Xenopus tropicalis: one gene and its partner. Each later gene encodes a partner of the first gene's protein in a complex. Links are inferred from orthologs where the notes say so. Each region holds a gene or a part of one and is shown on either strand. Other genes may lie near its edges.

The links. The genes of interacting proteins can lie anywhere in the genome.
Region 2: the proteins of wnk4 (region 1) and klhl2 are in contact, whole or in part, in a crystal structure (PDB 4CHB), measured with the Homo sapiens proteins. The link is inferred for Xenopus tropicalis from reciprocal best matches to the Homo sapiens genes WNK4 and KLHL2. Residues at the interface, in NP_115763.2 of Homo sapiens: Glu557, Pro558, Glu559, Glu560, Pro561, Glu562, Ala563, Asp564, Gln565; in NP_009177.3 of Homo sapiens: Arg345, Phe361, Gly363, Ser364, Leu365, Arg366, Thr392, Phe408, Gly410, Ser411, Thr412, Gly413, Ser438, Ser439, Tyr455, Ser487, His504, Arg534, Tyr583.

Annotation. Positions count from the first base shown.
Region 1 is NC_030686.2:21,732,977-21,736,808, reverse strand, and holds part of wnk4 (serine/threonine-protein kinase WNK4), read left to right. Parts: intron 1-396; coding exon 397-494; intron 495-2,985; coding exon 2,986-3,045; intron 3,046-3,832. UniProt on the Homo sapiens protein: Serine/threonine-protein kinase component of the WNK4-SPAK/OSR1 kinase cascade, which acts as a key regulator of ion transport in the distal nephron and blood pressure.
Region 2 is NC_030677.2:51,308,903-51,312,734, reverse strand, and holds part of klhl2 (kelch-like protein 2), read left to right. Parts: intron 1-797; coding exon 798-995; intron 996-1,258; coding exon 1,259-1,360; intron 1,361-2,273; coding exon 2,274-2,402; intron 2,403-3,832. UniProt on the Homo sapiens protein: Substrate-specific adapter of a BCR (BTB-CUL3-RBX1) E3 ubiquitin ligase complex that mediates the ubiquitination of target proteins, such as NPTXR, WNK1, WNK3 and WNK4, leading most often to their proteasomal degradation.

The sequences.
Region 1 (3,832 bases):
CTCTAGCCCTTGATAGCTCAGATCACACAATTCTTTTGAATGATAGCCCTTGGTAGCTCAGATCACACAATTCTTATGGAAGGAGGGAGCAGGAGAAGGGAGAGAGTTGTACAGACTCCTGCCCCAAGCCCCTGAACGAGCCCTAAAGGAGAGGAAGTCGGATACCGAAGAACATGTTTACAAAAAAGGAGACAAGAAATCCTGTGTTTCTTTTGATAGAAGACTCAGTCCAGCTTTTCTGTGAGTGCTTATGGCTGTATTTACATTACCATACTACATGACCTTTCTGATAACGCTTACTTTGTTTTTACCTTTTTTTTCTCCTTTAAAAAGAAATCTGCAGATAAAATATTGAAATTGTAGCGGTATCTGCAAATGAATACATTTATATTACAGGTTTCATTCGGAAAAATTCTCTTGGAGGGAGCAGCACTGGTTCCCAAGAACAACGATTAAACAAAGGGGTGACCTTTTCTGGGGATATGACCAGAATGGTAAGGAAGACATTGTAACACTGCAGTTAAAGTGATTTATACAATGGGAAAGGTGCTACACTAGACCATTATGACACACCCCGACGCAATGAAATTTAAAATTTTGCTCCCATACAGAGCAATGGGGACCTCTCCCCACTGCTCCACATGGGAGTTTAAATGTCCGCGCATGCGCGTTCGGGAGGGGGGGGGGCCTCGGGGCGCCCAGGTTAGAAATCAGGCGCTGATTATGATGGGTGGTGCCATACCATTATCAGATACTGTATCAACTGTGTAAATAATAAATATAGTGCAATTATTTAATCCATCACACACAAATAACAGTTGCTCCTAATTTATACTTTTAGTCCTTTGTAGTTGCATTAGGTTGGCCTTCTCAGTGTGTGTTACCATCATTAAGGCTTTAATATAGGTGGACTGGAATCAAATCTCTGTGACAATCTGTAAAGTTCAAGTAGCAGTTTTACTGGCTGGTGTGCTCAGAAATAAGAGCCACTGTGATACAATGTAAAAAAGTCTAAGGAACACATAGGAAAGATTGGCTACACAGCCCTACTACATTCATTTGGGCAATAAATGCAGGTAGTGCTGTGTGGTTCACCTCTCACTCAAGGATGGTGTTTACAACACTGGATTCCTAACATCCGCCAGTGAATCAAATTGCTAAGTTACACTGGCCACTGGGGGAAAAAATAATTTAACGCCATCTTATTTATTTTTGTAGGCTTCGATTTGTGCATGCCCATTAGAATCAAATTTTCAGATTTTACTCAAAATAGGAGTGCCACTTTTTTCCCATAGCCAATTACACCCAGCCTGGGTATAAGGAGTGAAAATAAGTTAGATGTAGTCCCACACCTTGTGTCTCAACCCTTTCTCCTTGTAGATTGTAAGCTCTTTTGGGCAGGGCCCTCTTCACCTCTTGTATCGGTTACTGATTGCTTTCTATGTTACTCTGTATGTCCAATGTATGTAACCCACTTATTGTACAGCACTGCGGGATATGTTGGCGCTTTATAAATAAATGTTAATGTAATGTAAAATGTAGTTAATGAAATAAGTTAAGTAATTATTATCACCAGCCAATAGGGGGCACTACAGGCAGAAAGATATACATGGGGCAACATTATCCGTGGCCTTTATGGGGGCACAGTGGTAGACTAGCCATTGCAGAGTAGGATACAGGTGAAAACAGGTGAGCAGAAAGTACTAGGTGTCTGAGATAGGTATATTTAGCATGGGCCGCCTATTGCACCAACAAGAAGCTGCTTTCCGGTGGGTCATCCAGCAGAGGAACCCAAGTGGAAACTTTAGGTAAGTATAGGGTTGGAGGGCTTTCGGCCAGATTTCTGCCAGTAGAAAAATCCTGTGTGGAATAGCAAAGGGACTCTAGAAGGAGTGTTGAATTGCTCAGACAGGTGGGAACAGGGATCCCAGGACTAGAGTAAGATTAGGCAACCCCAACCCCAAGATGTTGGTGACATATTTTGCATGTGATCCTCTGGACAATGTGAGACATGTATGTATCCCCAATATGTGCCAATAAAGTTACTGATTCTTAGGGCTGGGGATTGTGTAATCAGCTATCTGCCCATTCAACACGGGGTTAGCTCAAAGTTAAGCTTTGTTGTCATTTAAGGTTTGTTGAGCAGAATTTAGCAAGGCATGACAAGCATATAAGGAGGCTTTCTTTTTTTGTAACTTATAATTTTTATTGAGTTTTATAAGGAAGGGGGGGTAAAAATAAAAAGGAGAAAGTATAAAATACAATCAAAATATATAAAACATTTATAAGACACGTTCCTTGCGTTTCTGTTTTGGTTATAAGGAGGCTTTCTAATCACAGCAGCCTCCATGTAGACACTGTTGAGGAACATGGAGAGAAGCCTTCATGTAGACACTGTTAAGGAACATGGAGAGAAGCCTCCATGTAGACACTGTTGAGGAACATGGAGAGAAGCCTACATGTAGACACTGTTGAGGAACAGCTAGTGCCTGTTTGCATTCCTGTGAGCAGTCTGTCAGTCTGCCGGCTGCATCTACAGAGTTAGAGAGAAGATGAGGAAAGAGCAGGATTATTATATATAGTGAATATATATTTCACAGTGCTTTGCATCAGTCCCTAGTGAAACTTACACTTAATGGCCCTTAAAAAAACACTGTGATCAATTTTAATCAGGAGCCAATTAAGCTTGTGGAATGTGGGTGAAAACCCACCAGTGAAAAACATACAAACTCCTTCCACTCCTTGTGCCCTGGCTGGAATGTAGTTTTGGGCCCCAGCAATGCTGTACACTGCGCCACCATGCATGTTACAGCCATATTTGTTCTAACTTTTTACCTCATGGAAAAAGTAGAATTATCCATGGCTGTTTAACTAGATTCAGTGGGTCTTGGTCTTCAGTGAAATTATATGGCTCTCTCCATTGGCTTTCTTGTATGTCATTGTTATTTTATAATTATCATAATCTTCTTTCTCTTTTTTGCCTAGGCAACGACTGGAAGTTCTAGCAGCGAAACAAGTGAACAGGATGAAAAAGAGAAAGTAAAGGTAATTTGTCTATAATGTACCAAATACAAAATTTGTGCTCGCTAAAATTAAAGTTAGAGCTAATGTTATTTATGACTCAGAGGTTCATCTGACACAAGGGTTCAAAGTACAAATCCGTACCAAATGTAAAGTAGAGACCCGGGTGTCTATACCCCGGGTCTGTCACTCAAGTAGTAGAGAAGTCTGAGAAGCGATATAAAGAAGCTCACCGTAGTCCCGTAGTGGTCCGGGTGCTCAGGGCCCCGAACCCGTAGCTAAGGCAAAATATCCAAAATGTTGAGGGGTAGATCCAAGCGCACCGGACAGCAGGAGACTCTCTTAAAACTTAGTCTTTATTCATCCATTTAAAAACAAGCCACGCCTAAAAGGCGTGGCTTATTTTTAAATGGATGAATAAAGACTAAGTTTTAAGAGAGTCTCCTGCTGTCCGGTGCGCTTGGATCTACCCCTCAACATTTTGTCTATAATGTAGTCTAAATTAGGCGTAATTTATGAACTGAACACAAAGGACTTCCATATGCTTGGGAAACATCAGAATTGTACCACTGAACCACTAAACACCACTTTACTGCTGGTTATATTGAAGGTATGGTCACCTTTAAATTAAATGAATGATAAGCTATCAATGTTTTGTATGCCAGCAACATAAACAAAAATCTTCAGCACACCACTTACATACATGATCTCAAAGGGTGCTTAACTTCCACAGCCGCTCCCAAGCCTTTTTCCATGTATCTTTGCAAAGGGGAAGAAGCACTCCAATGTGTCGGCAATGCCTTTAAATCAT
Region 2 (3,832 bases), on another chromosome or scaffold:
GAGGCTTATACAAAATGGTTATTGGCATTGTGATAAGACATTTTGTTTCTTGTTTAGCTAAAAATATTGTATAAATGTCATTCTTGTCTTGGTGAACTTGTATTTCTTTATTTCATTTAAGGTTTCCTTTATTACTTACCCATTCTGCATATCTTTTACATCACACACTAGCAGAGAGAATGGCAATTTGTCCCCCTTTCGATACTTTTGTGTGAGCACTGACAGGACTGTAATACATCTGACATGCTCAAGTGTGCATTTTGTGTACAGTGAGCAGTGGATTTCAGTCATGTGAATGCACACAAATGTAGCAGATGGGAGAGTAAATGAGTTCTTTCTACTATCAGTGGAGAAAATGAGATGTGTGCCAGTAGCCTGAGAGGATATTGGCACAGTTGTTTATTTCGCTGCCACTAGGTGGAGCATGCAATATACCAGTTAAGAAAAAAAAAAAAAAAAAATCGGAAATAATCTTTAAAAAATGCTATTACTGCCAAGACTTCAGGCATCCCTGGAATAAGTCTTCTTCATACTACTACCTGAGTAATAGAACATAGCCAAAAACAAACCTGCTCGATCAACACCTGGTTGATTTTTCAGCCAGATATCTATCGGGAGGCCCATCAGGGTGCATGGGGGGCTGCTGGGAAATGAGTACAAAATTTACACCCGCTATCTTTCATTAGAATATATATTCCATAGGTGATTTTAAACAGACATGGATTTTTGGTACCTCTTTTGTCTTTAATATTGGCTGTTATAATTGCTGAATATGTAACAAGACCATGTTGTTCCAGGTGTGGTGTACATGTCTGGCCATGTATTTGCTGTTGGAGGATTTAATGGCTCACTTAGGGTGCGCACAGTAGATTCTTATGACCCCGTAAAGGACCAATGGACAAGTGTGGCCAACATGCAAGACAGGAGAAGCACTTTAGGAGCAGCTGTTTTGAATGGGCTCTTGTATGCGGTTGGAGGATTTGATGGGAGTACAGGTAATTTAACCTGCTGTAAAAATGCTGATTTCTATTAAATTCCCTTTGCAGGCAGCACCGTGCGTACCCTCAGGCTCTTGTATTTGATAAATAGATAGATATACAGTATACAAATAAAGATAAAGTTGTATAGAAACTTATGTGTTAGTAAAGTTACCTAATATTTTTATATGCCAAACCCTCAATATTTTTGGCACACAAGTGAGTTTTGCTATCGCAAGATTCCATTACATAATAGCTGAAGGAATTGCATTGTTTTGTAGGTCTTGCAACAGTGGAAGCATACAATATAAAAGCAAACGAGTGGTTTCATGTTGCACCAATGAACACTAGGAGGAGCAGTGTTGGTGTAGGCGTCGTTGGAGGTACGTTCTGCCTGTAAATAACTGGTTTCATTATTGTGTACTTTCATGTCAAGATAGGATTAGCATTGTGTTGTTCCAGATAGAGACAGCAAAGTGTGTTTAGCAGTCTCATTTACAAGTCTTCAAGCTGTCGATCTTTGGCTGTTACTGAAGTTAGATTTTGGCAGGCGCTGGAAAGCCACAAGATATAAAGACTTCTCTGTATTTTAGTTCATATGACCAAACCAGATGCAAGTGAGGCAGGAATATTTTGAACATGTGAACATTCTGCACCACATAAATATTTGAACCTGCACTTGCAAACAATAGTCCTTATCATGCTAATAAAGTCTTACTTGTCTTCACCAATCCTCCACCGTCCTCGGCATACTTTGCAGAGGGGTGCTGTGACTAGGTACTGTAAAGATGGCACCATATTAACATGTATACCACTTGTCTTGAAAAACTCATGAAAACAGTGTTATAGCCATTGCCAAACTTGGTCATTTATGAAGACATTTAAGACATTGTAATATGTAATTGTATGTTTACATGTGAGGGAACTTATAATTTGTCTAGATAATTTATTTAATTTGAACAACTGCACGCAGATGGACATATACAGTGTGTAGGGCCAAATCCCTGATACATATTACTATTAATAGCTAGCAAAATACAATTTTTATATACATGAAGAATTAAAATGGGTAAAATTATTAAAAAGGGAATAGTCCAGTGCAGTACACACAGCAGCAAATCACATATTTGCTTTGATTCTCTGAATACCAGTAGACTAGACTGTTTGTTACTTGCTACATATAGCCATCTTGTCATGTGCTGTGACTTCTGTACTGGCAAAAAAATATCCATGAATGATATTCGCATTTCATTTCCTGCTTATAATCCCCTTTTTTGCTGGTGTTGGCCATTACAGGCATGCTGTATGCTGTCGGGGGTTATGACGGTGCATCTCGACAGTGCCTGAGCACAGTTGAATGTTACAACCCAAGTACAAATGAATGGAGTTACATTACAGAAATGGGCACAAGAAGGAGCGGAGCAGGTAACTAAGATCTTTCTTTACTGCTTTTATTCAAGCAAGGTGATTGGGAAATATTTTCAAGTGTTTGGAGCTTGGAAAAACACAGCTGGAAAAACAGAACTCACATTGCTACTTGTGAGTACTCAAATGAGAATGATCCCTTACATAAAAGTATTTATAGACAGCCATCCCTCCCATACACAAACGGCACCAGTTTGCCCCCACATCTGCCCAGCTTTCCTTACCTGTTGATAAAAAGCACAGTAGCATGGCAAGGTTGAAGAGCGCCATCTCGCAGCACTAAATCTTCACCTGTAAGTGATCACCGACATATGCAGTTGAAGCCATGCTGACTACTGAAGAGAGGATTCAGTAGCACAACATGGTCCCTTCAAGCCCACTGTGATACTGTCAACAGGTAAGGAAAACTGGGCAGAATTTGGGGGAAGACTGGTGCTGTTTGGGTGGGGGAGGGATGGCTGTCCAGGAATATTAGCTATTATGTGAGGCTTTTAATAACCTTTAAGCAGTGCTTGAAGTCCTGATTTTATTTGTAGGCTTCTTCTTTTGCTATCAAGCTGTACATTGAATTAAATCTCATGCAAAGCCTGTATAGTCACAGCAAGATTGTATTCAGTTGAGTGGTAAAGAATAAAAGCCGAACAAACTGAAAGTAAATTGTTTCTGAATAAAGTTATCACGTCTACTATAATTCATGATGTTTTGACATACAGGCTGTCCATTAGGAAATATTGCATATTACACATTTATTTTAATGGGTCAAAATTAGAAGGTGAGGATATTCTGAGTCAAATTGCAAAAGGTGTCAAACCCTGTGTAACCCTTTAAGTTCATGGGAAAGCAGGATCCTGCTTTTGCATTACATTGGGGAGTAGGTTGCCAGACAAAGTAACTTGAGGTCAGAGTGGATTGAGAAATGCAGATACGTTTTTTTTTCTGCTGTTTTTCACCCAAGTACTGTAAAAAGAATCTTACCCTTGAATTACTCAATGTCAGGAGTGGCTAGGGGTTCCCAGGAGCAGCCAGGCAACATAAATCCCTTCCTGCAGGAGATCTTTGAGGAGGGAAACATAATGGTGCTGCTGCTTGGTGCAAAAAGGTTGGGGAGAGTACTTACTGAATGCCAGAAAGAAGTTCCCCATTGCCCATAAGAGGGCAGCAAAGTCTAATACAAAGTAGGCTAAAATTAATACAGGTAAGGGATCTGTTATCCGCAAGCCATTATCCAGAAAGTTCCAAATTACAAAAAGGCCATCTTTTATAGACTCCATTATAAGCAAATAATTCTAATTGTTAAAAATGATTTCCTTTTTCTCTGTAATTATAAAACATTGTCTTGTGCTTAACCTTAACTAAGATATAATTCTTATTGGAGGGAAAACATGCTTGTTGGGTTTATTCAGTATTTAAATGATTTGCGTTATGGAGAT